Linked DNA regions of Notamacropus eugenii. The protein of the gene in region 4 interacts with the protein of the main gene of each other region in a pairwise test. Links are inferred from orthologs where the notes say so. Each region holds a gene or a part of one and is shown on either strand. Other genes may lie near its edges.

Region 1 (8,286 bases), on a different chromosome or scaffold from region 4:
GAGTGAAGTGTAAGAAGTCTGGAAAGGTTGCGGGGGTCAGGTGGTCAAGGGCTTTGAAGGTCACACAGAAGCCAAAAGGGAGCCACCAGAGGTTACTGAGGAGGGGGTAACATGGTCAGACCTGGGCTTTAGGCATGTCACTTTATTGACTGGATGGAGGATAGCCTGGGGTTGGGGGAGACTGAGGCAGGCAGACCTTACCCCCAGCAGCCATTGCAACAGTCCAGGTGGGAGGGGATGAGACCTGTACCAGGCTGGGGCAACACAGAGGGGAGAAGGGGGCAAATTCAAGAGATTCTCCAAAGGTCAGTGGGACAGGCCTTGGCCACAGCTTGGATCTGGGCGGCTGAGACCAAGGCTAGGAAGGAACCAGGAGACAAAGTGGTCTGGACAAGAATATGAGGGGAGGAAAGTGACCACTTAGTGAAGCAACACCCATTCAGTGAACAGGCCTCTCTAAGAAGTGAGTGGCAGGATGCATGGGAAAAATCCATGCAGTGTTCCTGGCGGTCAGAGCATCTGGTTGGGAGGAGCCTGAAAGGGCCCCTGGGACAGGAAGTCCCAGGGACCCCAATGTCTAGTGAGAGGACCCCCAGCTTCAGAATCTCCCTGCCTCAGTGCCCAGTGCCCTCAGGGAAAGCAGCTACAGCTACCACCACCAGTACCACAATCACCACTCTCAGTACCATAAGAACCAGCCGCAGCAGCCCCCCCACAGTGAGTGACTTTCTGGCTCTTATCTTTCTCTTTCTCCAAGCTCGAAAAATCGATCTTGGGTGTACATGGGCTCCAGTGTCCAACTGCAGAACTGCAGAAAGCTCTGACTCCCTCTGTCTGTTTCTCTTTCTCTCGCTGGCTCAGCCCCACTTCCAGCCTACTCTGGAGGAAAATTCATCCTCTGGGTGGGGGTCCTGGGCAGTTTTGCTGCCCACAATTGTGAGCAACCAAACTCATGGTAAATGATCATCCAGTTTGAATAGCAGCTTTGAGCAGCCCAGTAACATGTACAAGCAATTAAAGGAATAAAGTTTCTCATGACTGACTGCTTTGGTTCCAAATGTGGTGGGCATGATAACAAATAGCTGCCATCCTTCCGAGCAGAAGGAAAGAGGGAGTGGATGGATAAAAGAGAAGCAGCAGTCCTCCCAGGGATGGAGAGGTGGGGGATGAAAGGGACTGTGAACAACACCACTTCTAGGGCTGTATCCCAAAGAGATCATACAAATGGGAAAAGGACCCACATGTACAAAAGCATTTCTAGCAGCTCTCTTAGTGGTGGCCAAGATCTGGAAATCGAGGGGATGACCATAAATTGGGGAATGGCTGGACAAGTTGTGGTCTATGAATGCAATGGAATACTCTTGTGCTATAAGAAATAAACAGGAAGACTTCAGAAAAACCTGGAAAGACTTTGCTGAACTGATGTTGAGTGAAGTGAGCAGAACCAGAACACTCTACACAGTAACAGCCACAGTGTGCGAGAACCACCTTTGATAGACTTAGCTCTTCTCAGCAATGCTTGGATCTAAGACAACTCCAATGGAAAATGCTCTCCACATCCAGAGAAAGAACTATGGAGTCTGAATGCAGATGGAAGCAGACTATTTTTCTTTTTTTGTTTTGTTTCTTGTGGTTTTTCCCCTTTTGCTCTGATTCTTCTTCCACAAGACTAATGTGGAAATAGATTTAACATTGTACATGTATAACCTGTATGTCAGACTGCTTGCTGTCTTGGGAAGGGGGGTGGAGAGAGAGAGAGGGAGAAAAATTTGGAACTCACAATTTTACAAAAAGAAATGTCCAAACTATTTTCACATGTCATTGGGTTAAAAATACTATTAAGGAGAAAAAAGAAAGAAAAATAAATAAGTTAAAATCCCCAAGCCCGCCCAAACATTAAATTTCTGAAAATTGCATGCTCAATGAGCTTAAACGAAGATTAAGAAAAGAAAAACCAACTAATTAATAAGATAAAGAGGAATCAAATGGATAAATGAAGAAAACGGGCGGGGCTGCCCCTTGGCTTCCGCACGTTCTGGCCCCGATCGCTTCGCAGCCTCCATCTCGGTCCTACTATCCTGCACTCGTGTCCGCCGCGTCCTTCTCCACACTCAGACGCCTTCCAGAGAACAAAGGAGAAGATAAATATTTGATGACAGACAGACCGACATTCGGGATGGGAATAATGACCGCGGGAAGGCAGGCTCCGGATTCGGTTACGCCGGAGGATCGGGTGAATGGTAATTAGCCTAATGGAGAACCCCTGAAAGTCTCTGCCCTCGGAGAGGCTCCTCTCAAGAGCCTCCCATGGCTTGTTATAGAGACAACGTGCATCTGTCTGGGTTCAGGGGAGCTGGGTGCAAATCCACAGTCAATGGCTCAGTATTAGATTCCCAACATTCCCTCCTTGTGCCTGCCTCTCTGAAGGAGGAGCCTTGGGCATAGAAGAGCAAAGGGTACAAACATTGATTAAGCACCTACTGTGTACTAAGTTCAAGGTTAAGCACTTTACCTTTATTATCTCATTTGACCATCACAACAAACCTGGGAGGTGGATGCTATTATTATCCCCAGTTTACAGTTGAGGAAACTGAGTCAGACAGGCTAAGTGACTTGACCAGGGTCACACACCTGGTAAGTGTTGGAGGTTAGATTTGAACTGGGCATTTTCAACTCCATGCCTGGCACTCTGCCCACTCTGACACAGAGCTGCCTCTGGTTCAGTGCAGGGTATGAGAGCCAATTTGGGCCACATGAATGGACAACGTCCTTCCTACCAGACTTGGTTTACCTGGAAACAGTGGCCTGATCAACAAGTGCTTTTTGGTCTTGGCAGCTGAATCTCCAGGGAGGACTCCCCAAGAGGATGAATAAGGCTAAGGACAGTCATGCTCCGATTGGTCACAGGAGGGCTGCCCACAACTGGTTTTGGACATCCATTTACAACAAACATATCTCTTGTAGAGGAAGAGGAAAGCCTTCCTCTGCCACAGGCCTGTGGCCCAGCTGAGTCACCACTCTCAGAGGAGGATGATTTGATTGTTTTCTTTTGCCATAAAATGTCAAATGCCCCAGGCTGGCATTTCTGTAGAGGGTCTTTTGCTTGGCAAAGCGAGGGTGTGGCACTGGCCTCAGTTTCTCTGAGAGGGCCTTCCTGGCCTGTAGTCAGCTTGTTGACTGACTATGGAATGCTCCCCTGCTTGTTCAGGGGAGGGTGAGTGTGGCAGAGATCAGAGGCATGTTACAAGCGGGCAGCCTCCTGGGATTTGGCTCTCAAGAACGGCCCTGAGGCTGCCCCCACCTTTCAGGACAGCAGGCCTGCTGATTCTTTGCTCCCTTGTTGGTAGGGACCCTGTGTTCTCAGCCTTGAGAGGCCAAACCCTGGAGTCTCCAATCTAAGATTCACAGAGTGAGACTGGCCTGGCGTTGGGGGCACAGGGCAGCCTCCCCAGGTGTGTGCCAGGACAGTGCATTTGGAGCCTTGGAGAAGGGGGCTGGGAGGTGCTCACTGGGCATTGGCTCGCCATGGGATCCTCTTCCTCTGCCCCCCCTCACCCATGGGTGCTGGGGTCAGCCAGGCTGCACAATAGGATACTGTTATTCAACACCAGGTCCACAGACTACTGAGAAGTCTGGGGCCTGCCCTCAGGGGGTTCAGTCTGGTGAGGAGCAAGCCCCTAGCCTGGAGAACTTTGATGCCCAGGGTTACGCAATGCCTGGATGCCAGTGGGGCAGGGAGGTGCCAGAACGGATGCCAGGGGTGAATGAGTCAGACCTGTGGTGGGAAAGACTAATAACCACATGGCTATTTGTAACACTCATCTGTCAAAGGAAAACAATCGGGAGACTGGTGCATGTAACTCAATGGGATGCCTGACTCCTGGACCCTGGCTGGAAGACAGACAAAGCAAGGCCTCCTCTTCTGACATCCTGGGGCAAGTGCAAGGACCCCCTGCTCCAAGGGGGCTGATGGTACCTGGGAGACTAGGGGCCCTGGGTCTGGAGCTGGGGGTCCTGGTTGTACATGGTGTGCCTAAGCAGGGTCAATTTTGACAAGTCACTTCTGCCCATGGCCTCAGTTTCTCCACCTGTAAAAGGAGAGGGTGGCTGAGACCCTCCCCAGCTCTGGAGCTAGGATTGAATGGTCTTAGGTTTTACAGAGAGGGAAACTGAGACCTAGAGAGTGAAAGAGACTTGTCCAAGATCATCTAACTAGTAAGTGGATGCTAGCCCAGTGGGAAGATTGGTGGGTTTGGAGTCAAAGGCTCTGGGTTCAAATCCTACCTTTGCCATTTACTGCCAGCGTGACCTTGGGTGATTAGGTTCTCCTCCCTGATCCTGTTTCCTCATCTGGCTCTTTGAACTTCTGGTCTGACTCTCTAATTGTTGCCCCAGTGGGCATCATGTGGCTTCTGAGGTGCCCAGGTGAAGGTTCCTGGCAGCCCTCCCCCCTCAGTTTCAGCACTGCTTGCCCCCAGAAGGCATCCCGAGGGTGGGTGCCAGTACCGGGTGGCCAGGGGCCCCAGGGTTCCCTGCAGCTCCCAGCTCAGGGCTGGGCTTTTTCTCCTCTCCCCCACCCCGATGTGGATCTCTTGGAAAAAATGAAGTCAAACAGGTTCCCCAGCAGCACACACAATTGGCGGCTGTGACAGGCCAGGAGGGCTGGGTCCAATCCTCAGGGTTACCACTGGCCCTGCCCCTGGGCACCTTGCGCAGGCCGGGTCGGGCTGGCCCACGACGGGAGGGCTGGGTCAGTGTTACCTGAGGGTCAGGGACACGCGGAGCTGGCACTGGCCCTGCCCCTAGGCTCCTTGCGCAGGCCGGGCCAGGGTGGCCCACGACGGGAGGGCTGGGTCCCATGCTCAGGATTACCACTGGCCCTGCCCTTGGGCACCCTGCGCAGGCCAGGCCGGGGTGGCCCGGGAAGGAAGACAGAGAAGCCTCAGCCACGCTCCCGGCTTGGGACTCCCAAGGTCCAGCCCCGGCTGCTGGGTGACCTTGGGCCGGGCCCTGCCCGTCTCTGGGCCGCCGGGCTCCAGCCCCAGGCTGAGACCCCCACAAAACGCAGGGCCGGGGCTCGAGTCCGGCAGACGCAGCGATAGCGCTGGGGAAGGGCCCCAAGCACCGGGGGACACCAGGCTGGAGGACTGACCCTGAGAGGCGGGGCTTCGGGAGGAGGACCCGGGGGCGGGGCCGGGGCGGCCAGGGGATGGGGGCGGGGCGGCCGAGGCCGCTCAGGTGCGGACGGAGTGACCCCGGGCGTCGGAGTCAGCCCCTGGAGCGGCTGGACGCTTTGGGATCGGCGGCGGCGGCCAGCCGGGTCCTGGTGTCCGCTCTGGCTGAGCTCGGGGCCCCGGACTCTGGGGCTTTTGGACGGAGCGTCTGGCAGACCCGCGAGCCCCAAGGTACGGCCAGGGCCAGGGAGTGGAGGCGGGAGGCGAGTGGGGTGGGGAGGCCCGTGACTCCGTGGCTCTGTCTACGCTCAGGGCCGAGCCTGAGGACGCACTGCGGTTGTGGGTGCCCTGCCACGGGTTCCGTGCGTGGGAGTGTGTGCGCGCGTGTTGGGGGGAAGGGGGTGGGGAAGAAGAGGGGCACCTTCCCCGGGGCGCGTCGCCAAGGGGTAACCGGCCTGGCCACCCCCTCCGTGGAAGACCTTGGCTTACAGCTCTGCTCCCTCCCAACTTCGGTTTCCCCAGCTGTCCAAGGAGAGGCCCGGGCCAGCCCGTGCGCCTGCAGAGTCCCCATTTGCACGGGAGGACACCCATGCCCGGGAGTCCGTGGGCAAAGTGCCCACGAAGGAGGTGGGAGGGGGCGTCTCTGCTGCCCCGCTGACGCCTTGGGCTCCCCTGGTACCAACCCCGGAGGGGAGACCCCGAGTGTGGACCGGGCTAGGGAACCCATCATTAACTAGGAATCTGGGGTTCCGGGACCTAGTGGTTAAGCAGATGATCAGTTTCTCCAACCCACCCCTTCCCCTCCTGTATTGGGGGGAAGGGGCTAAGGGCCAGGCACAGCCCTTGAATTCAAAAGTTGTGACTGACCTCTGGCAGTCTGTGAGTGTGTGAATGGGGGTGGGAGTGGGCGAGGCACTGCCCCCAGCCTCAGTTTCGACATCTGCAGAATGAGAGCATTTCCCATTTGTATAGCAGCATCTTAGTGACCATGCTAATGCTTTCAGGGTCCCAGGGAGGGGCCTCCTCTTGGAGTCTATTATGATTCCCATTTTACAAAGGGGGACAGTGAGGCACACTGAGGCCAAGCAGCTCACCCAGGGTCCCCCATTCAGGAACAGCCTGAGGCGGAATTCTGGCCCCTGTCTGGCAGTCTCAAGTCCTTTGTCTTCCTCTCACCCCCACCCTCCTCGACTGCTTTCTGGATTCCCTTTAATAAAGAGAGAGGGAACCTGACTGTCCTATCCCATGAGTTCTGGGGAATGACTTTTATGCTTCCAGAATCTCCCTGTCAAGGAGAGTCTACTGCTAAGGGCCTCTGGGTGGCCAGAATCAGAATGCTGGACCTGAGTCAGGAAGCCCTGAGTTCAAATCCAGTCTCAGACCATCCTAGCTGTGGGACCTTGGACAGCGTCTCTCTGGTGATACAAGGTCCTCACCACCCCTCCCACCCATCCACCCATCCCCAGGCAGTGTGAGGATTTGGGAGGTGCTCTGCAAACCACAGGACCTGCCATACAATGCTAGCTACTGCTGATACTTCTAACCTCCATAGTTAAGTCTGGGAGAGCCCAGGACCCCGGCCTGGTGCCTGGAGAGCAGAGACCTGACATCCAGTTGTTCTTGTCCTGGATCTCCCTCCCCTCCCCCCCTCCCCGCCCCCTCCCGCTCAAGCCTGCAGGAGTGTGCGGGGTATCGCCTGAGACTTTGTTTGGAGCTTTTCCTAGCCTGGTGGGTAGAACACCCATTGATCATATAAACACACTGAGGCCCAGGGAATTGGGAAGGAATCCTCAGAGGCCGGAGAATGCTCCTTTCTTCTTGGCTTTTTGTAGCCACGAATGACTTTCTCCTTTTGACCCATTCTGGGACCAGAGCCCTGACTTGAAGCTAGAGGCAGATTTAGGGTGTGGCCTTTAAGACCTATCTAGAAACTGTACACCCTCCCCAGAACGGAGCCTCAGGGCTGGGTTTGCTTTGCTTTGGTGTTGGGTGGCAGTTGGACCAGGGCTGGCCTAAAGCTAACTTTTCCCTTTAGGAAGAAAAAACTCCTCAGATGTGAGATCTCCTTCAGGTGGTTGCTCTCTCCAGTGAAGCAGATCACCACCCAGTCCTGCCCTGCCCTTCCCCCCCAAGTGTTTGGTCCTCCCAGAAACCTTGGTAGACAGAAGACTGTGTGGGAAGCCCTGGAATTTGCAAGGGAGTCCTCCACATTGTGCCTTGTGTCACTCCCCTGTAACCTTGGCTTCCCCATCTCCATAGGTGACTGTCACCTCCAGGTGAGGCTCTCTGGAGGGCAGGGCCTTTGTTTTCATTCTTCTGACCACCCAGTGTTCTGGGGACCTTCCGGGAATGCTTTCCATTTTCATGGGAACATCGAGTACAGCCCAATGGCTTGTCCCTCCTTCCCTCTCTGACAGCCGGCCGGCCTTTACATGACTCACAGGAACACTGCCTTTTTTGGCCCCCAAAGTCCTAGCCTGATGTGGAGGAATTGGAGAGGTGGCCCCAAGGCCTCAAAGGCCACTCGAACTCTGCCGGGGCCTGGTAGGAGAGCAGAGGCTTTTGGAGTTGGCCTGAGCCTGCTGGACTTTGTCTCCCCCCCAGTGAGGAATGTGGTAGCTCCCGGCATCCCAGGGAAGCATGAGACCCTGATAAAGAAGATGTAAGGATGAAAGGACAAGCGGCCGCTTCATATCATCCTGAACCTAGCCTTTCTAGACTAATCCAGTCCCAAGAGCCACCCAGGCTGCCTCTCATTCCTCCAGCACTGTCGAGGGCTAGGGAAAGCCATGCTTTGGCTCTGAACCTCCATTAATCCAGCTGGCCCACAAGGCCCAAACCCACTCTGACGCACAGTAGGGATATTAGAGAGGCAGATGAAGGGGAAGTCCATGGATGACAAAGACAGGGGAGGAGCCATCCCACTGTCCTACTGGGAGTGATCTCAGGCCTGGAGCTGGCAGGGATGGCACAGGCCAACCCCTCCCCCCAGGGCTCCCCCCCAGCTTCCTCTCTGGGAGGTGAGTGGCTCCTCTCAACCCTTTCCAAATAAGAAAACAACTAATTTGTGTGTGTGTGTGTGTGTGTGTGTGTGTGTGTGTGTACACACATA
Region 2 (7,553 bases), on a different chromosome or scaffold from region 4:
GTGGGTGCCATGCTGGGCACTTCAGATGGTTTCCTGGTCTTTCTTCGCCGGTCTCTGAGGGTGGCTGAGGCCCCTGGGCTGATAGATGTGCCAGGGGGGCATCCTGAACCTCAGGTGAGCACCTACATCCTGAAGAGTCAGGCAAAGATAGCCACTGGCCTTCTAGAGCCCAAACAAGCCAGGAACTAGAAGTCTTTCAGTTGAGGAAACTGAGGCAGACAGGGTCACACACATAGTAAGTATTTGAGGCAAGATTTGAACTCAGATCTTCCTGACTTCAAGCCCAATGTGCCCCCTTGCTGCCCACCAGAGGAGTTTCTATTTGATACTTTTGGTAATAGGGAGCTGTTGAAAGTTACTGAGAACAGGATGGGGGCATCATGACCAGACCTGGGTTTTCAGAAAATCCCTTTGGTGACTGAGTGGAGGATGGGTTGGAGTGGCAAAAGGCTTGAGGCAGACAAACACCCCACCCCACAGCAGCTACTGCAATAGTCCAGGGGTGAGGTGGTGGGATGGTGAGAGTCAACACTACGGTGATAACGCTATGTAAACAGAGAGAGCGGGGAAGGTTGTAAGAGAGACTGTGGAGGAAGAAACAGAATTTAGCAATTGGTTAGCTATTTGGATTTGGGGTGAGAATGAGGAGTGTCATAGATGACCCACGAGGCTCCTGAACCTGGATAACTTAAAAGATGTTGGTGACTCAGCAAAAACAGGGAAGTGGAGGCGGTAAGTATGTCTTAAATCCCTACTGTGTGCTGGGCACTGAGCCAACAAGTATTTCTTAAATGACTACTGTGTGCTAGGCACCATGCTAAGTGGTAGGTCTAGAGGAGTGATGAGTTCCATTCTGGGGATGTTGCATCTACTGGCTAAGGGGCATTCACTCAAATGTCCAATGAGGGACCAGAGGGCTGGAGAGCGGCTAGGGTGAGTGATGAACTTCAAAGAAGGGGAGAACAGAATGTGTTCAGTGGAGAAAGGAGGAGCGATCTAGGACTGTGACTAGCAGGGCTGGGGGGATCTGAGGAAGGTTTTGGAAGGAGAGCAGCCCCTGGGGAGGTGTGCAGGCAGCCACGGAGCGGGGAGAGTAGCCATGAGGCACGGTTGCCTCGCTCACAATTGGCTCTTTTGACCTGTTCATGTGTTTATCCGTTTTGCTGAGCTGATGATTTTTCTTCTTTATTTGATGAGTCTATGGCTAAAGAGCTGAGGTCAGAGGAGAGAAGAGCCCTCCTGGCTGTGTGGAGCTCTAGGCAGCTCTCTGAGACTTAGTGGCCTGCATTGCCTGCAAGAGCTTCTTCAACCAGGAAATCCCAGGTCCATTCTCTATCCCTTTGATTCTTTGTTGCCAGAAACCAATGGCTTATGAGGGAGTTATGTGAAAAGGAAGGGTGTGTGAAACGCAAAGTCAAAGCCAGGCCTAGAGCCTCAGGTCTCCTGGTCTCTAGAGCTTGTCTCTTTTCTGGTCAGCCTGTTGCCCTTCCTCTGATGTGCTTCAGTGGGGCTGGGACAAAGGGAGTAGAGCAAGGCCGGGTCCACCTGGCAAGTCTTCTTGGAGCTGCGGACTTCAGCCTGAGAGGCTAGGCTGCCCTGGGGAGGGGAGCGAGCTGAGGCTGCCTCCTTGTAGGCCCTGTTTCCTGGGGAGATGCCCCGGCACGAGGATCTGCCCGAGGACCTGCTGGTTCCGGAGCTGTTCTCCTCCATCTTGCAGGAGATCCGAGATGAGGTGAGGTGCTGAGCCTGGGGCTGGGAGGATGTGGAGAGTGGGGAGAGCAGGAGCTGAGGCAATGACCCCTGACCTCCGACTCTACCCCCACCAGGTAAATGTGCCACTATCCACTTTGAGCCATCCCCTCCTTCTGGGCATTGCCCGAAATGAGACCAGTGCAGGAAGAGCCAGTGCTGAATTCTATGTCAGGTAAGTGGACATCATATGGGGAACTGTGCTTCCTTCTTCTGAGGGACAGAATTAGAAGTAGGAATAGGCAAACTAGGGAGGGGATCAGGGCACAAACATTTTAAAATGTGACTTTTTTTAGAAGGTCTTATTTTTAATACAACCAAATCCTGCTGTGTGTGAACTACCAGGCTTTCTTCTGCCATCAGCCAGATTCCACTTTTCAGGGAAAGCTTGATGTCCCTAGGGGCACAGCATCATAGAAGGGCTCTTCTAGGAGAGGCCTGAAGTCCTGGGCTTGGAAAATTGAGATCTGGGCACCTGGAGCCTCAGGGCAGGATGGAGCTTGGGACCCCTGGCCAGAGTGGGTCTGCCCTTCTCCCAGAAGCTTGTCTCTCCCCCTCCTCCTTTAGCTGTAGCCTGACCTCTGAGCAGGTGAAGACCCTCTATATGACCGGAGGACCGGAAGCTCATGAGTCCACTGGAATCATCTTCATGGAAACGCAGGTGAGAGTTGGGAGACAGGATGCCTTGGCTGATGCTGGGAGTGAGTGGAAGGCTGGACAGATTGGGGGATAGCAAGCCAGGGCCACAGGTGGGATTTGGTTTGCTCCAAATCACATGGGCAGATAATAATTATGTTTTAAGATGTTCCCAGGCCAAGATGAGATTTTAAAGAAGGTAAACAGGCAATCCTGAATCTGTACAATTGATGTCTTGAGCCCCAGGGCTCAGTGTGGCTGGTGTGGCTGATTAGATGCTAGTTCCAGTGTGAAAGGTCTTAGGGTTTAAGTGAACAGTCAGCTCCAGGAGAGTCTGGGGCAGCCATGGGGGTTCCCTCTGGCTTATCCTGTGTTAGTGGAAGATAGTATTGTGTTCAGTTGTGGGCACAGCACTTTAGGGTAGGCATTGACAAAATGAAGCCTCTCTGGAGGAGGGTGGCCCACGTGGGGAAGGAGCTCACGTTCACATCACAGGAGTGGTGGAAAGAAATGGGAATGCTTATCCTAGGTGGTAGAGGGATTAGATCACTCTGCTTAGCCCCAGAGGATAGAGCTTGGGAGGGATGGATGCAAGGCTGCCCACACTGCCTCTCCCCGGTGGTCTTCAAGCAAAGGCTGGGTTGCTCTGTGCCAGACATGGTGGGGAGGGGATTCTGGACAGGGAGGAAACATGAGCAAGTGGACAGGGGGCCTCTGAGGTCCCTTCTGGTGTTAAGAGGCAAGAATACCCAGAAGCAACCAGGAGTGGGGAGGTGAGGGAGGGCGGCTGGGGACCTAAAACCCTGATCCAAGACTGTCTTCCTGCACAGAGAGTCGGGCGCTTGCAGGAGGAATCCGAAGCCTGGGGTGAGCTCTGTCCTTCGGCCAAGGGCGCTATTTTGCTCTACAATCTGGTCCAGGCCAGGTTGGCCTGAGAAAAGCCCCTGTACCTTGTATCCTGCCGTCCCTTCTCAGCTCTGTCCTGGGCCGTCCGGACAATAAAGCCTTTATTCTTGGAGCTGTGGTGTCGTCCACTCTGTCTTGTAAGGCACTGTGCCTTAGTTTCTCCTAAATGGACAAAGAGGCATGAGCTTACTGCGTGAGCTCAGTCTATGCGGTCCTGGAATTTACAGGTTGCTTCAGACCTTGACAACACCTCACCTTCGTTGGGTCCTGGACCTCTGGGAGCGTCTTGGGAAGCCCACGGACCCCTCCTTACCAGTTTTTTGATGCATAAAAGAATAGGATTATAAGGAACGATTTCTAATGAGATAATATCAAACTCAAGACCCCAGCACGCCTTCATCTAACAGCTAGGGAAACTGAGGCCCAAGGAGGAAAGGAACTGACCCCTGGGGACGGCTTTCCCAGCCCTGTGTGTGCTGGGAGCCGGGGTGGGGGCTGCACTCCATGGACTCTTGGCTCATTCCCAAGGTGACCCTGGACAAGTCACTTGACCTCCTCTGTAAAGCAGGGCGGGGCTGGGTGAGATGCGCTCGGAAACCTCTACCCTCCGGGCCCGCCCCCTGCCCAAGACACACCCCGCAAAGCAGGCTAGGCAGAAGGGGGAGGGGCCGGGGCCTACGGGGGCCTATGGGGCTCCACTAGGGGGCGGGGCTCCATGACGTCGGGTCCTGCTCCTTACGCCTCTGCCTCTTGATGGGCGTGCCTAAGAGCGCTAAGGCCAATGGGAGCGGCTGAGGACGGGTGGTGGGTGGGGCTACGTCAACTGATTTTTGTGGGCCTGGTAGGCGGGACTAGGAGCGGCGTGGGCCAATTGTAAGATCCTGGGGGCGGGCGATGGGCGTGGTCTGAGCGGGAGAAGGAAATGGCGGCGCGGGCGTCGGACTGCGGAGCTCCCGTGAGTGTCCGGGCGGACGTGGAGGGGGGGGGCGGGGGGGCACAACAGAGGCAGTACGTGGGGGCGGGGCTTAGCGCCCTGGCCCCTCCCCTGAGATCAAGGTTGGGGGGGCGGGGGGACATCAGCCTTGTTTGCGGAGCCAGGACTTGGGGCAAGGGGAAGGTTTCGGGGGGGGGGGAGAGAGAGACAGAGAGAGAGAGAGAGAGAGACTTCCTCTGCCTCAGTTTCCCCCCCGGAGGGGGGTGAGAATCTGCTCCTCCTCCTGTCAGCCTCTCCCTCCCCGCGGGAGGGACTCCCGAAGGCCGGACACGCCCAAGTCAGAGACCCCGCCGGTGCCCCCAGTGCTCCCTTCTGGCCGTCCCTGGTGGCCGCCGGTGCCCCCAGGGTCAGATCCCCAGCCTCCGCAGTGCACGAGACCCCGCCGGTGCCCCCCCAGTGCTCCCTTCTGGCCGTCCCTGGTGGCCGCCGGTGCCCCCAAGGGTCAGATCCCCAGCCTCCGCAGTGCACGAGACCCCCAGTCCCCCCAGTGCTCCCTTCTGGCCGTCCCTGGTGGCCGCCGGTGCCCCCAGGGTCAGATCCCCAGCCTCCGCAGTGCACGAGACCCCGCCGGTGCCCCCCCAGTGCTCCCTTCTGGCCGTCCCTGGTGGCCGCCGGTGCCCCCAAGGGTCAGATCCCCAGCCTCCGCAGTGCACGAGACCCCCAGTCCCCCCAGTGCTCCCTTCTGGCCGTCCCTGGTGGCCGCCGGTGCCCCCAGGGTCAGATGCCCAGCCTCCGCAGTGCACGAGACCCCGCCGGTGCCCCCCAGTGCTCCCTTCTGGCCGTCCCTGGTGGCCGCCGGTGCCCCCAGGGTCAGATCCCCAGCCTCCGCAGTGCACGAGACCCCGCCGGTGCCCCCCAGTGCTCCCTTCTGGCCGTCCCTGGTGGCCGCCGGTGCCCCCAGGGTCAGATGCCCAGCCTCCGCAGGGCACGAGACCCCCAGTCCCCCCAGTGCTCCCTTCTGGCCGTCCCTGGTGGCCGCCGGTGCCCCCAGTGCTCCCTTCTGGCCGTCCCTGGTGGCCGCCGGTGCCCCCAGGGTCAGGTCCCCAGCCTCCGCAGTGCACGAGACCCCCAGTCCCCCCAGTGCTCCCTTCTGGCCGTCCCTGGTGGCCGCCGGTGCCCCCAGTGCTCCCTTCTGGCCGTCCCTGGTGGCCGCCGGTGCCCCCAGGGTCAGATGCCCAGCCTCCGCAGTGCACGAGACCCCCAGTCCCCCCAGTGCTCCCTTCTGGCCGTCCCTGGTGGCCGCCGGTGCCCCCAGTGCTCCCTTCTGGCCGTCCCTGGTGGCCGCCGGTGCCCCCAGGGTCAGGTCCCCAGCCTCCGCAGTGCACGAGACCCCCAGTCCCCCCAGTGCTCCCTTCTGGCCGTCCCTGGTGGCCGCCGGTGCCCCCAGTGCTCCCTTCTGGCCGTCCCTGGTGGCCGCCGGTGCCCCCAGGGTCAGATCCCCAGCCTCCGCAGTGCACGAGACCCCGCCGGTGCCCCCAGTGCTCCCTTCTGGCCGTCCCTGGTGGCCGCCGGTGCCCCCAGGGTCAGATGCCCAGCCTCCGCAGGGCACGAGACCCCCAGTCCCCCCAGTGCTCCCTTCTGGCCGTCCCTGGTGGCCGCCGGTGCCCCCAGTGCTCCCTTCTGGCCGTCCCTGGTGGCCGCCGGTGCCCCCAGGGTCAGGTCCCCAGCCTCCGCAGTGCACGAGACCCCCAGTCCCCCCAGTGCTCCCTTCTGGCCGTCCCTGGTGGCCGCCGGTGCCCCCAGTGCTCCCTTCTGGCCGTCCCTGGTGGCCGCCGGTGCCCCCAGGGTCAGATGCCCAGCCTCCGCAGTGCACGAGACCCCCAGTCCCCCAGTGCTCCCTTCTGGCCGTCCCTGGTGGCCGCCGGTGCCCCCAGTGCTCCCTTCTGGCCGTCCCTGGTGGCCGCCGGTGCCCCCAGGGTCAGATGCCCAGCCTCCGCAGTCCCCCCAGGTGCTGACCTGAGTAGGAGGATGAGCTGCCGCGGGGCGGCCGCAGCCCCGATCAGCTTCGGAGCCTTGCCGGCTGCAGGGGCTCGGCCGGTCACCGCGCCTGAGTCTGCCTCAGTTTTCTCAGCCCTAGAGTAGCGGTCATAACCCACATCCCAGGGTTGTTGTGAGCACTAGATGAGATCATGTTTGGAAAGTGCTTAGCACGGTTGGGGCACGTAGTAAGTAGGTGCTTAGTAAATGCCCCCCAGGGTCCCCCAGCATCAGAGACCCTCTCAGTGTTCCCCAAGGGAAGACCAACTCCCAGGGTACCCAATGACAGAAGCTCCCCCCCCCCCCATCATCACTCTCAGGAAGCCTGCCCAAGGCTATCTCTGCTGCCAGAGATTCCCAGCCCACCCAAGGGAACTTAGAGACCATCCAGCCAAGTGCAGCCTGGGTGACTTGTCTGTGTCCTGCCCATCTTCCCCCAGGTGCAGAAATGCTGCTCCTCCGCTTGATCCCTCAGCTTTGCCAGCTATGCCCCCGATGCCTTCCTTCTGCCAGGCCCCTCAGCTCTGCTCTCTGCCTGAGGTGAGTCCAGCTAGGAGAGGGAGAGACCCCAGCCCCAGGCCTGTCTCCCGACCTATCTGTGACCTTGGGTTCTTCAGGGCTGTTTTAAGGGGGTTGGACCAGGTGGTCTACAAGTCATCCCTTTTTGGTGGTAAGGACCTGCTTGAGACTGGTGGGGGGTGGGGCTTCTCTTCTGTGCCCCACCCCCAGCTCCCACATTCTATGCTCCACAAAGAGTCCTGGATAGGGGACTCAGAGGGCCTGAGTTTGAGTCCCAGCTCAAACACTTCCACCCCCTTTCTGGGCCTCCATTTCGTCATCTGTAAAACAAGACTTGATTCTGACCTCTGAGGTCTCTTGTATAAGAGGCTGGCTTGATCTGCTCAGGGCCCCACTATCTCCCCAGCCCCTGACTATCTCTTCAGTGACTGGATAAGATTCTGTTACTTTGGGGACTCAAAGAACTATCCAGTCTCCCCCACCTCCATCTTCTGTGCAGGGCAAGGCAAAGTAACTATTATGAGCTTCTGGGGATCTGTCCAGACGCCAGCATGAAGGAAGTCAAACGGGCTTTTTTTGCCAAATCCAAAGAGGTGTGTCTGGGCCAGGAGGCTTTGGTGGGAGCTTTGGGATCTGGGGAAGGAGGGAGGTGCTGAGGGCTGGCCAGAGGAGTTGCCATTGCCACCTCCACCCCCATTGCCTCACCCTCCAACTCTTTCCAAGGGCTGAGTAGGGGAAGGAGACTTGGACTCAGAGTCAAAAGACCTCAGTT
Region 3 (8,214 bases), on a different chromosome or scaffold from region 4:
AATGCCAAGGACAGATTCCATTTCTTTCAAGGGAACTCTTGGTGCTGGGGCACAAAGCCAGGCTGCTGTCCTGGAAAATGAAACCTGTCTTCAGCCACTAGAGCTTGCTCAGCATAGAAGTTAGAACCAAAAGCCACCTCTAGCCTTTCTGTCCCATTTCTCTCCCTCTTTTCTGTCCCATCCTAGTTGAAGCTCAGATCAAGTTCCAGAAAAGGAGGAGGGACAGGGAGAAGAGGGCCAGGGATATCCAAGGAAATGATACTTCTGTGGTCAGTTCTTTTCCTCTTCCCCTTGATACAATTGTCAAATGTCAGGGCTAGGAATTTTAGGGCACAGAATGTCAGAGCTGGAACGGGCCTTAGAACCCAGAATATTAGAGCTGAAAGGGCTTTAAAGATATAGAATATGAGAGCTGAAAACGGACCTTAAAGAAAGTCAGAGCTGGAAGGCAGCTTTTCTACAGTGGACTTTTTTTTCTTTCCAAAACTTTTCTAAAAGCAGGTCTGGCTATGTAATCCCCGCACTCAAAAATCCTGTTACTTTTAGGATAAAACACAAATTCCTCAACTTGATATTTAATCATCCCCATCTGACTTTCACATTTTTTTTTCCAGTTTTATTTCATAATTCTCTTCTTCATATACTCTATGTTCCTACCAGACTGGAATGTTAGCTGTTCAATTATGTTTAAAAACAATTCTTAATATTTATTTTTAAAAATTTTGAGTTCTAAATTCTCTCTCCAACCTCACTGTTCCCCAAACTTGACATGCTTTCTCCCAGGGTTTGTCTATACTATCTCCTGTGCCTGGAATGTGCTTCCTTCTTACCATTCACTTGCCCCAAGGCTCATTTAAGGTACATCTTCTTTTCTGAAGCTTTCCAGATCTTCCCATTTACATCACATTCTTTCCATTTTCAAAGTATTTATTATTTACATATCTGTATATTTTGTCTTTTACCAGTAGACTATGCCTTGAGGACAGGGTCCATTTGTTGTTTTTTGCCTTCATACCCCCAGCAAGCAGGCCTTTGGTAGGGAAAAAGAATGCAAAGGCCAGAATGATCTCCTGAGAACTATCTAATGCTACTTTATTTTAAAGAATAGTTATTAGCATTAATTCTGTAGTAACTTTGTAGTTACGGCAAATTGGGCCCTGAACTGTGAAATATCATGTTGTATATTTGTCAAAGGAGGAGAAACACTGGACTCCTCTGAGCTAGGGCAAAGTGCCTTTACCACAGCAATCTACCTTGAGGCCCACTCAGTCTCCAGACTTCTAACTTCTCAACCGCCTTGAGAACTGTCTTCCCACCCTGAAGATACTTCTGCCTTGAGTTTTGCTCTTCTGATTGGTGAGTCTCTAGCCAAGATTACCATTTTATGAGGGGTTCAGGCCATATTCTCTTCAATCACTCTCTAAACTTCTCCATCTTCTTTCCAGAGAAAGGAGATAGGCAATTGATCTAGTACCCCTCAACTCTACGACTCCCCTTTATGTATTGTCTTTCCTCCTTAGAATGTAAGTTCTTTGAGGGTAGAGACTACCCCTGAATCAGTCAAAACAAAAACGTGGTTGCACTTGTATCTTATTGAGGAATTATTCAGTCCAGAGATCCTCCCACTTTGGACTGTTTGACTGAAGGCCTATAAATCAAGAGGCAAGGCTAGAAGACATAAGGTTTCATTATCATCAGCTGGTAGGCAGTTGATAGGTGACTAGCCACAGAACCAAGGGAGGTACATACATACATAGGATTTTACACAGCAAAAGGTGTTTTTATAGTTTTACAGTGGCATAAGAAATCTCTCAGCTGAGGCAACTTAGGTACTTCCTTTATTGAATAATAGGGACAGGATGTCAGGTGATTTGGGGGAAGTGATGTTTTAAATGGAGTTTGGATTTGTTAACTTCATTTCTTGGGCAGCTAGTTGTAACAGTAAAGACCCTGGCATACACAGGAGGGCCTGTTGTACATGTTCTTAGATCTGCTTTTCTAAAAGGAAAATGACTTTTGAGGGATCAACAATCTATTTTAATCAAGCACATGTATCATTCACTTAGTTCAGGGGGAAAAGTTAGCACCCTGAACTTCAGAAAAAATACAGGCAGAGAAATAAAGATCAACAGACAGGGCTTCCAACTATCTGACCAGAAGCAATACATACATCACAGATCAACAGACAGATCCAACTTCACAGACCAATGTACATACATAGTTACCAGAGAGAGAAGCACCAATAAATATCTGGGTTTTTAAAGTCGGGGGGGCTTCTTAGCAGCTACCCAGAGTCTCCTCTGGCCAAACAAACATTTCCAATGAGTAAGCCCCAAAACAAAACCTCACCTCAGAGTATTTATACATTTTTCAGAGCAAGAGGGCAAGATCCCCTGATCCAGTGCTTCAATAGAAATTAGCAAAAGATATTGAGGCCTGTTAATGGGTGGGGAAGATCTTTAACTCTTCTCCCCCACCCCCTCCATTAACCTTAAATTATTGTTACACTTGGTGGTATAGTGAATAGAGCACTGGGCTTGGAACCAGGAAGATTCATTTTCATGAGTTCAAATCAGACACTGGATAAATCACTTAGCCTTGTTTGCCTCAGTTTCTCAGCTGCAAAATGAAATCTTTGCCAAGAAAACCTGTAAAATGGGGTCAAAAAGAGTCAGCTATGACTTGTTGTCTAAGGATTTACCAAGGATCCTGTTTACTCTGGTCACTAATCCTATCAGAACCTAGGTCTCCAAGGTAGTGGAAGCTTCCTTCCAGATAGAATCAATGGGCTTATCCTGTTGAATAAAATTTACACACTCCTGTAGCTCCTTTTGACCTTTAAAGCTACTTTTTCTGGAGAGATGTTTCCCCCAAACTTACAGCACACAGATTTTATCCATTTCTTCCACAATTCCCAACAAAAGTATACTTGTATTTGTATCCGCAGTATTTACTTCACTGCTTGGCACATAAGTGCTTAATAGATGCTCTATCTAGCCACTTAATTAATACTTGGTCCCCACACATTTCATCATGCATTTCTATGTTTTGCATAAATGGTCTTCCCATATTTGGAACGTATTCCTTCCATCTCCACTTCTTGGAATCCCTTAGTTCCCTTTTCTTTCTTTCTTTTTAAAATTTATTTACTTATTTTTAGTTTCCAACATTCATTTCCACAAGATTTTGAGTTCCAAATTTTCTCTCCATGTCTCCCCTCTGCCTACCCCAAGACAATGTGCATTCTGATTACTCCTTGCCCCAATCTGCCCTACCTTCTATTACACTCCTCCCTTCCCTCATCTCCATCTGATTTCTTGTAGGGCAAGATAGATTTCTATACCCCATTACCTGTATATCTTATTTCCCAGTTGCATGTAAAAACAATTTTTAACATTCGTTTTTTAAACTTTGAGTTCCAACTTCTTTTCCTCTCCCTCCCCACCCATCCCCACTGAGAAGGCAAGAATTTGATATATATTATACAAATATAGGCATGCAAAACACTTCTATAAAAGTCATGTTGTGAAAGACTATATTTCCCTTCATCCTATCCTGCCCCCTATTTATTCTATTCTCTCTTTTGATGCTATCTCTCCTCAAAAGTGTTTACTTCTAATTACCCCCTCCTCCCATTTGCCCTCCCTTCTATCATCCCCCCTAGCCCTCATTTATCCCTTTCTCTCCTACTTTCCTATAGTGTAAGGTAGATTTTCATACCAAATTGAGTGTGCATGTTATTCCTTCCTTGAGCCAAATGTGATGAGAGTAAGGTTCACTTTTCCCCTCTCACCTCCTCTCTCTTCCCCTCCATTCTTGCCTCTTTTATGAGATAACTTGCCCCATTCCATTTCTCCCTTTCTCCTCCCAATATATTCCTCTCTTACCCCTTAATTTCACTTTTTAAAATATCATCCCTTCCTATTCAACTCACCCTGTGCCCTCTGTCTATATGTATATAACCCCTCCAATTACAGAGAAAAGTCTCAAGAGTTACAAATATTATCTTTCCTTGTAGGAATATAAACAGTTCAGCTTTAGTAAGTCCCTTATGATTTTTCTTTCCTGTTTACCTTTTCATGCTTCTCTTGATTCTTGTGTTAGTAAGTCAAATTTTCTATTCAGCTCTGGTCTTTTCTTCAAGAGTGCTTGAAAGTATTCTATTTCATTGAATGACCATCTTTTCCCCTGAAGGATTATACTCAGTTTTGCTGGGTAGGTGATTCTTGGTTTTAATCCTAGCTCCTCTGACCTCTGAATATCATATCCCAAGCCCTTCGATCCCTTAATGTAGAAGCTGCTTAGCTTCCTCTTCAAAGAGCAGTTCAGATGCCACATTTTAAAGGCCTTTCCTATTCATCCTATTGATTAGCACTCTCTCATTCTCTAAATTACTTTGAGAATATTTTGCATTTACTTACTTGTGTACATACCTTATCTTCCCAATGGAATGCACACTCTTTGAGCATAAGGACTGTTTGCTGTTAGTTTTGTTTTTGTATCCCCAGTGTCTAACACAGCACCTTGCCCATATGAACAAATATTAAGTTGAATTGAATCCTATTGAGTGTCTCCCTCAAGGTCACCACAGCAAAGAATGTGATCGCGTTTCCAAATGACTGCTTTCAGAACTGGACAGCTCCAAGGGGAGTCTAAACAGAGCCTGGGTTAGAGGCTCCTCATCCAACTGAATTAGCCTTGTGAACTTGGGCAAGTCCCTTTCCTCCTGCGTCTCAGTGTCTTCATCTACAAAACGACATTATTTATTTCCAAGTTCTCTTGCAGCTGTAACGTTTTCTATTTCATGTTGGTCTTTCAGCCTGATATTCTTTAGTCTTAGGTCCCTTCCGGTTCTAAATCTTATCCCGCGCATTCTTGCTCTTAGGGTCCACGGGATCCCTTTGAGGCGAGTCGAAGCTGGGACTACAACTCCCAGAATACCCCGGGGCGCACCTCCTCCCGCACTTCCGGCGTGCGGCGGCAGCGGCGGGTAGCTAGTCAGGGCGACGGCTGCGGGCGGAGGGCGGCGAGTGACAGGTCGCTACGGGGCGGGAGCCAGGGTCGGGGCCGGGACCGGGGTTTTTGGGGACTAGCTTTTCTGCTTCTCTCGCTCGTCCGCCCGCGGTGACCTTCATGGGCCGCGGGCCCCCCGCCCCGGGGCGGCTGAGGAGGGCCGTGTGAGGCGGCAGCAGCGGCGGTGACTGAGGCCGAGGGAGACTGAGGCGAGCGAGGCCCGGGCCCGGCCGGAGCCGAGGGAGGGCGGCGATGTTCGTGCAGGAGGAGAAGATCTTCGCCAGGAAGGTCCTGAGGCTTCACATCTGCACCATGGAAGGCACCGAGTGGCTGGAGGAGGTCACCGAGGATACCACGGTGGAGAAGCTCAAGGAGCGCTGCCTCAAACACGTAAGGAGCCGCCGCCGAGCCGGCGGGCCCTGCCTCGGGCGCCCCTCATCCCCATGCCCCCGGCCCTAGCCTCCCGTCCCTCGTCCCCTCCTTCCGACCGTGGCGCACAGCCGAGAGCCGATCTGCCCTCCGTTCTCTCCTCCGTTTACATTTTCCTTCCCTCGCTGAACCCCCCCCCCCCCTTTTCTTTCCTTTTCACTCACTCTCGTTTTCACTGATGCTTCTTCACTCCATCCTTCTCTCCTTTTCCCTACTTACAGTTTTGTCTCTTTGCTTTTCGTCTTCTCCTAAAGTTTCGTTCTCCTTTTTAATCTACTTCCTTCCTTCTTTCTTTTCTTTCCATTTCTGTTTTTTCTTACATTTAACCTCTTTCTCCCCTTTTCTTCCTTTCTTCATTTTACAGCTTATTCCCCCAGATAATCAATAAGTATCAGATACTTACTATGTGCCAAGGCAATGTTCTAGGTTCTGGCGATACAAATAACGAATGAAACAATCCCTACTTTAGAAAGGAACTTACTTTCTCATGGAGGAGTAAGCAATAATACCTGTATTTGTATCGGCATAGCTATTGGGGTGTATCTGTGTGTGTGTGTGTGTGTGTGTGTGTGTGTGTGTGTGTGTGTGTGTGTGTGTGTGTGTGTGTGTGTGTAGGAAGAGAGAGAGGCATATAGGTACATATGCGTGTGTATATAGCTACAGTTAATGTAAAGAAAGTAAAAAATGCAAAATAATTAAATTTAAAATGGTCCGAGAGGGAGGGAACTGGAGATTCAGAAGCCCCACCCCTTCCTCTAGTGTTTTCACATTTTTTCTGGTTTTAGACACCTTTTCCTTTTTTCCACATTTCTCCTCCCTAATTATAGTTTCCTGTGCCCTTCTTACTACTTCTAAACTCATCTAACTCATTTTTCCATTTCTTTTTGCCCATTTGTGTTTTCCTTCCTTAATCGCTTTTCTGCTTTCCTTCTTCCCCTCTTACATTTCCATTTCTTGTTATCTGTCTTCTATATCTCTTCCTCCTACAGTTCTTTTCCTTTTTCCTCCTTCCCTCCTTTTACTTCTGGTTTTTCACCTCATCCCCCTTTGTTTTGACATCTTTTTTTGACCTCGTTCAATAATCCTTAGTCTGTGAACTCATTTTCACCCACCTCCATTCTGCTTCTCCTGGCTTTTTCTTCTTTCTCTTTTTGTAGTACAATGGATTCTGGTCCTAACTTTGCTCCCAACAAGCTGTGCAGCTTTAGGCAAGGGAAAGCCTTTCTGGACCTCAGCTTTTCCATCTGCAAAATAAGATGCTTGCACCAGATGATCTTTAAAGGACTTTTCTAGTTCTCACATTCTATTATTTTCTTCTTTTCTGAGGTAATATGAACTACAGAAGGAGATAGGTAGGACACTAGACACTTACCCTCATTACATAATCTGCTTCAACTCTTTTGATGATTCAAGGAAATTTTGAAAAGGATCTTTATATTCCTCTGTCACTTTCAGTGATGCACAGTAGGGATAAAGAGGCAGAATGGCCCCCTGAATAGAGTTAAGAAGACTTTGATTCAGGCTCTGCCTGTAACACATACTGACTGTGTGACCCTTAACCTCTCAGTGCTCTAGGCAGAGAAGGTGCTGACCTTTGTTGGGAAGAGGATTTCCTAACCTGAATTTCCTATATCTATGAAATCACAGGTCCAGGTCAATTCCTATCTTTCTGGTGAAGTTTTAATTTTTTTTTCAGTTTCACCATGAACTCATAGTTAGTGTTTTAAGGCACACTTAAATGAAGTCATAGAAACATTAAAACTGTCTCGATAAAACCTGGCATTTTGGACTATTCTTGTTAACTGTTATTTGTGTTGCATGTTCTCCACAGCAGGGTTTAGTTTTTTTTTCCTACTGTACTTGAAACCACTAAAACGTTACCTCTCCTCTCAAGGCATTCCTCTTTGGTTTGAAATTACTACCTTTAAGAAAAAAAACTAAAAATGGATTCCTGATTTCTGATTTTCTGAAGTGACCACACTTTTAAATTTATTGTACACAAATGAAATGAGTTAGTGTGTGTGTATGTGTGTAGCTATCATATATTATATAACTGATGGCTGAAACGAATTCCTGGAGACTTACTCATTTCTGTAAACTTTAACTTTATAACACAATTCATAGACCAAATGTATAAATGCCTAGTCAATACTTGTCACTATGTTACATAAAGTGTTGTGCCAGAGGCCATTGTCTCATTAGAATTGGGAAAAAAGCTGTTGATTGTGTCACCACAGTAACCCGTTAGTGTGAAGTGTTTCTTTATGTAATATTCATGTTATAAGATATATGTGACTATGGAATATGCATGTTGTAATAATCTATGTGTGATACATTAATTATCCTTGAATGTTAAAATATGGGTAAATTGTAGCCCAGAGATTCCTTGGTGTTATAGTAGCTGTCTAAAACATTGATTTATAGTTATTTTCAGAGATTAATGAAAACTATTCTGCAGAGTCGCTATTTTTATAGGGTTATCCACTAAAGTATGGAGCGTAGCCTGCTACTGTTTATTTACTTGCTATAGAACTATGGAGGAAGAGAGAAGGCATTTACAGATTGAAAAGAGCCATGGATTTTGAGTCTGAAGTTTTGGTTTAAGTTCTGGCCCTTTCACTTTCTTGTTTAACTCAGCTTGCTTGTTGTTTCCCTCCTCTGAGCCTCAGTTCCCTTATTCATAAGATGGTGATGATAATATACTGCTTTCCTCAAAAGGTTTTCATAGAAAGGGCTTTGTAAACTTTAAAGTATTGAAGACATGTGAGCTAA
Region 4 (7,287 bases):
CAGTGAAAAAAAATGCCCTAGATTTGGAGTTAGGGGTTCTGGGTTCAGATCCTAGCTCTTCCATTACTACCTACGTGGTATGGTGGCTAGAACACTGGGCCTGGTGTCTGGAAGATCTGAGTTCAAATGTGGCCTCAGACGCTTACCAGTATGACTCTGGGCAAGTCACTTCACCCTATGTGCCTCAGTTCCATCATCTGTAAAATGGGGCTTGTAATAACACTGACCTCCCAGGGTTGTTGTAAGGATCCAATGAAATAATAATTATAAAGCGTTTATCATAATTAGCACATAGTAAGCATTATATAAATTTTAGTTACTATGATTACTACTGGTGACTTCAGTGGTTCTACTGGATACAGCATTGGATTTGGAATCAGAAAGACTTGAATTCAAATCCAGCCTCGGGCACTTTGGAGCTCTGTGACTCTGGGTAAGTCACTTAACTTCTTTTGCCTCAGTTTTTTCTTCTGTAAAATGGGGACAATAATAACACCTACCTCCCAGGGTTGTTATGAGAGCCAAATGAGATAATATTAATGACATGCTTAGTTCCGTGCCTGGCATATAGTAGGCGTTTAATAAATACTTATTTCCTTGCTTCTCTGAATCTCGTTTTCCTTCTCTGTGAAAGGAGAGAGTTGGACTAGATTACCTCTGAAGTCCAGTCTAGTTCTAAATCTAAGTACAGAGCCCTGTATTAGGTGTATGGGAAGATATAAAGGCCTGGTAGGACGGGAATTTAGAAATGGGAGAAGACAATAATACTTCAGGGGCCCATGATTTTATCTCTTCCCAGATTAAGATCAAAATTCCTCCACATTATTCATGAGGGACTGTGATTAAAAAAAAATAACTCCAGGAGGCTAAACCTTCAGTCATGAGACATTAATTCTATCACTGGGCCTGTACTTTTTATCCTTTCCATATCTGTAGGATCTACCAGAGGTTGTGTTCCAATGGTGTTGGCTTTTGAGGTGTTGCTAGGGTCTCCTCTGTGCTGTGATGAGGACTCTGTGGACAAATAAGTAAATAACCATTTAAAAATAATAAATTCCATTTATCCAGGGCTTTAGGGTTTAAGAAAGCATTTAAAGGATAAAAACTGTTCTCCTCATGACAATTCTATTAAGTACAAGTATAATTATCTCCCTTCTGTAGATGAATAAAACAAGGCTCAGAGATGTAACATAGTTGGCAAAGTATCAGAGTGCAAAGTTTAAAACAAAGGTCCTGGGAATCGAAATCTAGAGCTCTTTTTGCTAGACTACTTGAATGGATTTCCTACTGGACTCTGGAACCCACACCCTCATCCCTTGGGTTACTGTGTGGAAAAAGTACAGCTCAAATCCCCATTCAGTGCAGAGTCCAGGCAGGAAGCCCAAGTCAAATAGTAAAGTATTTAAATGAAACACACGCACATAGCAGATACCAAGCAAAACTATGTAGAGAGTTCCTCAAAACAAACAAGGAGTCTCTCATGAGTTCAAGGGCCAGAGGGGGAAAAGAAAAACATTCTCCCCAAGGGAATTCATGTTCTAAGACAGAGGTATTAAACACAGGGACCAGTATGAACCAGATTAAAATGCAGTTGGGAAATATTTAACAAAATAAATGAAAATGCAAAAAAAAAAATAGACAATATTATATTTCAAAATTAAGTTACATACATATGAATATATATATATGATCCTTATAGTTAAGTTTGATAAGAGTGCTGTAGGACAAAGGAGTCAAATACTGGGCCACTCTCAAGTGCAGCTCAAACCAGATTAAAATGTAATTGGGAGTGCCAATGTAATTCAAGTGTAAGACAGGGATAGGGTTCCTAATTTGGGATTCACGAACAATTTGTTTCCTTGGTAATCCTATGTATTTTAATTTATACATTTAAAAACATGATTCTGAGAAGGGGTCCACAGGTTTCATTAGGCTGCAAAAGGAGGTTGCCTTGTATCATGTCTGGGTCATATTTTGGGTCAGCGCCTCTCCTCTTAGACTATCATTTATGACAAAGCTGCAGTTCTCTGAATCTCTGTATGATCAGCTGTCTTTGCTGAAAGTCTACTTCCTCTTAGCAGGGGAAAAGACACTTCATGGCTTCTGCTGCCCCTTTACTTCCCTCCGAGTTCCCAAGTTCCTCTTGGCCCTGGCCACCTTCTATCATCCCTGTGATAAGTTACATCTGTATGCTACTTTAAAGTTTGAGAAGTGTTTTTTATAATATCATCTCCTCTGAGGTTTGGAATAGCCCTGGGAGCTAAGAGGAAACAGACTCAGAAAGGCTGAGTGACTTGTCCATGGAAGCAGATGTCTGGCAGTTTTCCAGATTCTGGGATGATCCCTCTATCCCCTGTTGTTAATTACTCTGCCAGAGTCAGATTACTTGTCAGTTTCTTCGGTGCCTCTTCTCATTGGCTCCGAGATCTGGTTCAAGGGGCTGCTTAGACAGTTGTGAATTACCTCCATGCTCCTTCTCCAGAGAGGGTCCCCTCATCCTTGTGCCTAGCTCAGACAGGGTGAATGCCTTAAACCTCCTTCCTGCCTCAGAGGGAAGGTATTAGTTGCCTCCTCACACTATCTGCCTTCATTTCTGAGGTTGGGATAAACCCATGTACCCCTCTTATCATTTCCTGTGCACCTCCCAACTTCGGCACTGCCCCATTAAGAACTCCCCATTAAGAGATGGGGGGTGGGGGTAGAGAGCACATACTGCTAGCTCCTATAGGAATTCCTGTTGTTGAAGCTTTTAACCCTCTCTATGCCACCCCCTCCCCAATAAAATAATACACCAGCAGCATTCAATAAATTATAAGGCGTCCCCTTCCTGCTGGGCACCGGGGATACAAGAAGGGCAAAGACAGTCTCTGCTCTCCAGAGCAATTACAATCTAACGGTGGTGGGTGGTGTGGACCCCAAGCAATCCAATATGTACGAACAAGCTAGGCACAGGACAGCATATACAGGAGGTACGGAGAATTGGCACACAAAGCAAGCTACCCTGGATTTTATCCTGTCTCATCTCCAGGCTAGGCAGTGAGTTTCTCGGGGAAAAGGGACCTGTGTGGATGAACTGTGTTGATACATGGCCTGGCAAGAAGGCAAGCCTTGCTTTTTGAGTCGAATCAGGCTGCTTCCAAAACAAAAGGAAGGAGGTTAGACATGGGGAAGAACTTTTTGACTGGTAGTGGGGGTGGGGGAGGCTCTGTTGTAGGTTGGGACGATATTAGTGGCTAACACGCTGAATCCCGCCTCAGAGGACCTGGGTTCAAATTCAACCTTCAACACTTAGCCCAGGGCCAATTCTACTTGTTGAGCCTCAATTTCCCCTTCCGTACTCGTTTCCTCATGGGATTGTTGTGTGGCTTTGCAGCTCTCTGAGGATGAGGCCGACTCTCGGACAGGTTCGGCTGAGTTTCTTCCAGAGACCGAGGAATGCAGAGAGTCCCTCTTTCCTCGGGCATCTCTTAACCCCTCTCAATGTACCAGAACCACGTTCATCCTACGTCGGCAGCCGCCAGCGCTACAGTGGGGCCCCGCCCCGTAGGAGGTGGGCGGGGCCTAGGCCCGCCTCTCGCCTCTGATTGGCGGCCGCAGTTTCTGCCTCGCTGTCACTCCCGCGGTGCCCCCTCTCGTCAGCGTCAGTGTCTCCTCCCAGCTCAACCCCGCGCTGAGGGCCGCTTCCCGTCGCGGGGGCTGCCGGGACAGTTCCAAGATGGCGGCGGCGCTCGGCGCCGTCTCGGGTCTTTGCCAAGCGTTCCATTCATTTCCCGGCTGCTGAGCGGGGCCGCGGAGACGCGGGAGAGGCCGGGGGCCGCCGGGGAGGGCGCAGGGGGCCACGCCGGGCCCTGGGCTGGCGCCGGGAGCCGCGGGGCCTCCCGCTGACTGGCCGCCATGGCCACCCTGGAGAAGCTGATGAAGGCATTCGAATCCCTCAAGTCCTTCCAGCAGCAGCAGCAGCCGCCGGCGCCGGCGCAGCCTCCGCAGCCGTCCCAGGCGCAGCCGCCCCAGCAGCCGCCGCAGCAGCCGCCCCAGCAGCCGCCGCAGCAGCCGCCCCAGCAGCCGCCGCCGCCGCAGCCCGGGCCGTCCGGGGGGGAGGAGCCGGCGCACCGACCGTGAGTGGCTGGCGCCGGCCGGGCGGGGAGAGCGCGGCGCCCCGGCCCCTCCCGGGATCCCCGGTGCCCCCGAGAAACGGGGCCTGGGGGTGGGGCTCCGGGGGGCTGGCGGCCGGAGCACCTGTGGTCCTGGCCCCGAGGGCACCCCTCAGCCTGTCACCTCCCCGGCTTGAGGGAGGGGGTCTCGCCCCACCCCCTTCTTTCCTGGGCACTAGACGTCCGGTCTCCTCCCAGACCCAGGGGGGACGTCGGGGGGCCCCCTCAGCTTGTCCCCAGCTTGGCGTCTCCTCCCCCGGCTGAGGGGGCCCGTGGTGCGCGCCTCGAGGAAGGGAGCCGGGGGTCCCCTCATCCTTCCCCCCAGCGTCGGGAGACCCGGGGCTCCCTGCGCTTGCTCCCCTGCTGGGAAGCGGACCCGCTTCTCGCGCTCGTTTCCTCGAAGACCTGAGACGACCCCCTCCGGCCGTCCTCCCCCTCCCCCTCCGGCCGTCCTCCCCCTCCCCCTCCTCCCCCTCCCCTCTCCCTCCCTCTTCCCCCTCCCCCTCCTCCTCTTCCCCCCCTCCTCCTCCCCTCTCCCGTGGGCTCTCTGCTGGGTTCCCGTCACTTCTCTAAGTTCGGGGGGAAGGAAGGTTCAGGAATTGGAGTGAAGTCTGGAAGTTGTGGTCCCCGCCCTGGGTTTCTGACAGCCCAAGACCTGGGTCCTGGCGGGGGCGGAGGGTGGGGCCCGGGACGTCCGCTAGAGCCGAGCCCCGGGGGTGGCTCTTCTGGACCTGAGAGTTTTGGCTTCGTTACTAAGTTGTGTAGAGCGTTAAATTCTAGTCAGGGTCACCATGATGATGACAATAACGAAGGGTCCCAACTTCTCACTTTCCATGCTGGTCTGTAAGAGTTTGAATAGGTTGTAGTACATAATAGTAAAAATGAGATGAACTTACTCTTAGTTCAGGAATTTTAATTTTGAATAAACGAGAGATGGTAATAGTGAAAGTATTGGGAAAATTTTCCTGAAGTCCATTTTTTTCTCTTGGAAAGAAAAATGCTTCTGGAGACAGTAGTTAAATTGTTACAAGACTAGGAAGATAATCTTGAATATACTTTCCCGATGTTGTTTGTAACTTGCTTGGACTTGGCACGTACGATAATTCTGAGATGCACGTTACAGAAACATGTCAATTTGAAGCAATGAAAAAGCGTTTCAGTGCTTACTATCTTCCAAGCACCGGGGTTGCGGATAGAAAAGCTACAATCCCGGTTCTCAAAGAGCTCACATTCTGACAGGGGAAGACAACACATGGAGGAAGAAAATAAATAAAACTGGTCACAGATGTCATCCTTTTATAGACTGTTTGCCTAGTTGTCTGCTGCTCTGTTTTCTTGAGAATTTACTTAATTGAAACTGAAATACATAGGCCACCATGAAAGCTGAGAACTTGATGTGAAGTTTTGCCTGTTTTTATCAGTAAGGTTAAAGATGGTGTCAGTGAACATTGGCCTGAATATAGTATTATACCTTTGTAATAATATTGTTATAAATAGTAAGAAAATAATTCACGAAAAAATAATTATGGAAAATTACTTTAGCTACTTTGTTGGACCCAAATGTCCATAGGTGTGACTTCATTCTCCACCAGTACCAGGCAAAACCTCTCATGTCTTTTCATCCTGTAAATTCTTGTGTGTCTTCACATAAATCCCTCTTAGAAAATCTGTCCAATGTACTAGGAACTTGACTCTGGTTCTTTTGTATCAAAGGATACTGGGGGAGCAGGGGAATTATTCATCTTTGGTCTGTCAGTTTGGCTATACAACTGGCCCACTTTTTTGTCCTAGTCACTGATGCTAACTTAAAACACCATTTAAATTAAAAGTTTATTTTTACTATAAAATTATTTTCCCACAGACACAAAACATTTCAATGTACAAAAAAAAAGGTTTGCATATGAAGGGGAATATCCATTATGGGCAATTTGCTTTGAAAGATAGAATATATTTAATTTAATAATTAGCAATTGCCCAGCTTGTATCCCCTTCAGAGCTTTGTTTTCTTCTGTGTACCCACTTTGTTTCCAGTTTTTTGCTACAAGAAAAAGTGTTGCTATGATTATTTGTCCTTGCGAATCTTTTCCTTTCTGTCTTCGACCTGTTTAGGATATATGCCTAATAGTGCTATTGCTGGGTGAAAGGATGTACACACACACACACACTCTCTCTCTCTCTCTCTCTCTCTCTCTCTCTCTCTCTCTCTCTCTCTCACACACACACACACACACTCACTAGTGGTATTTAAAATACAGTTCCAGATTATTTCCCAGAGTACTTGGATCACTTTACAGTTCCATCAACAGTCCATAGTGTGCCTGATCTCCCATAACCTGACCAATAATTGCCATTTTCATTTGTTGCTATTTTTGCTAATCTTATTTATGTGAGGTAGAACCTCAGAGTTTTAAGCTCTACTTTTCATATTCATGTCATTGCTAGTAATATGCCATTGTTTTTTTTTATACCCATCATGAATCTTTCCAGTGCTATTAGGGTTACTTATAATTTGATTCTTCCAAGATTTTGGCATATCATGATTTATAGACATGACTTATCATGTCTGTCCTTAAAAGAGATGGATATTTGTGGCAATATGCAGTTTGGAATGTGCAACTAAGAGGCACACATTAGTGTCTAAATGTGAGCTAGCCCAATCTCCTCATGTTCAATCTGGGCTCGGTTTTTTATTTTAATTAAGTGTTCAAGTTGTACATGTTGATGGACTATCAGTCTAGCTTTATATTATAGACTGAGCAGCATATGTTTTTCATCTACTTTTGTTTTTCTAGTGTGGATGGTTAGAATAACTCTTTTGCATTGTTCTAGCTTCCCTATGGAGGCTTTGGGAGAATTCTTGGTCTTGGTATGGTTATCATGATGCCATGTATAAAACTTCTCGGTTAGAAAGCACTGGGTTAAAGTTGACAAGGTTTTGCCACACAAAAATGTACCAACTTAAATTTTAGAATGATACACTAGTATCTTCTTAATCCTTATCATTCTGTTCAATTCAGCAAACATTAAGAAGTGTAAACTAGAGCTGTGGGATGAGGCTTCATTGGAGAGAATAGACTGCAATCTCCCTTGCCTTTTGGAAATTTATATTTTGTGGGAGGGGGAGGGAGATAGCTGA

Evidence for each region.
Region 1: the proteins of HTT (region 4) and MTUS1 interact in binary tests that used the Homo sapiens proteins (3 or more experiments, as listed by UniProt). The link is inferred for Notamacropus eugenii from reciprocal best matches to the Homo sapiens genes HTT and MTUS1.
Region 2: the proteins of HTT (region 4) and DNAJC4 interact in binary tests that used the Homo sapiens proteins (3 or more experiments, as listed by UniProt). The link is inferred for Notamacropus eugenii from reciprocal best matches to the Homo sapiens genes HTT and DNAJC4.
Region 3: the proteins of HTT (region 4) and UBAC1 interact in binary tests that used the Homo sapiens proteins (3 or more experiments, as listed by UniProt). The link is inferred for Notamacropus eugenii from reciprocal best matches to the Homo sapiens genes HTT and UBAC1.

Annotation. Positions count from the first base shown.
Region 1 is NC_092878.1:168,561,036-168,569,321, forward strand, and holds the start of MTUS1 (microtubule-associated tumor suppressor 1), read left to right. Parts: upstream 1-5,211; 5' UTR 5,212-5,405; intron 5,406-8,286. UniProt on the Homo sapiens protein: Cooperates with AGTR2 to inhibit ERK2 activation and cell proliferation. May be required for AGTR2 cell surface expression. Together with PTPN6, induces UBE2V2 expression upon angiotensin-II stimulation.
Region 2 is NC_092873.1:17,067,242-17,074,794, forward strand, and holds the start of DNAJC4 (dnaJ homolog subfamily C member 4), read left to right. Parts: upstream 1-4,160; 5' UTR 4,161-4,246; intron 4,247-6,702; 5' UTR 6,703-6,710; coding exon 6,711-6,802; intron 6,803-7,280; coding exon 7,281-7,374; intron 7,375-7,553. Other genes in the region: uridine diphosphate glucose pyrophosphatase NUDT22, read left to right, coding at 1-114, 1,634-1,732, 1,827-1,924, 2,317-2,410, 3,216-3,320.
Region 3 is NC_092872.1:490,823,785-490,831,998, forward strand, and holds the start of UBAC1 (ubiquitin-associated domain-containing protein 1), read left to right. Parts: upstream 1-4,961; 5' UTR 4,962-5,265; coding exon 5,266-5,403; intron 5,404-8,214.
Region 4 is NC_092877.1:53,267,519-53,274,805, forward strand, and holds the start of HTT (huntingtin), read left to right. Parts: upstream 1-3,882; 5' UTR 3,883-3,894; coding exon 3,895-4,115; intron 4,116-7,287.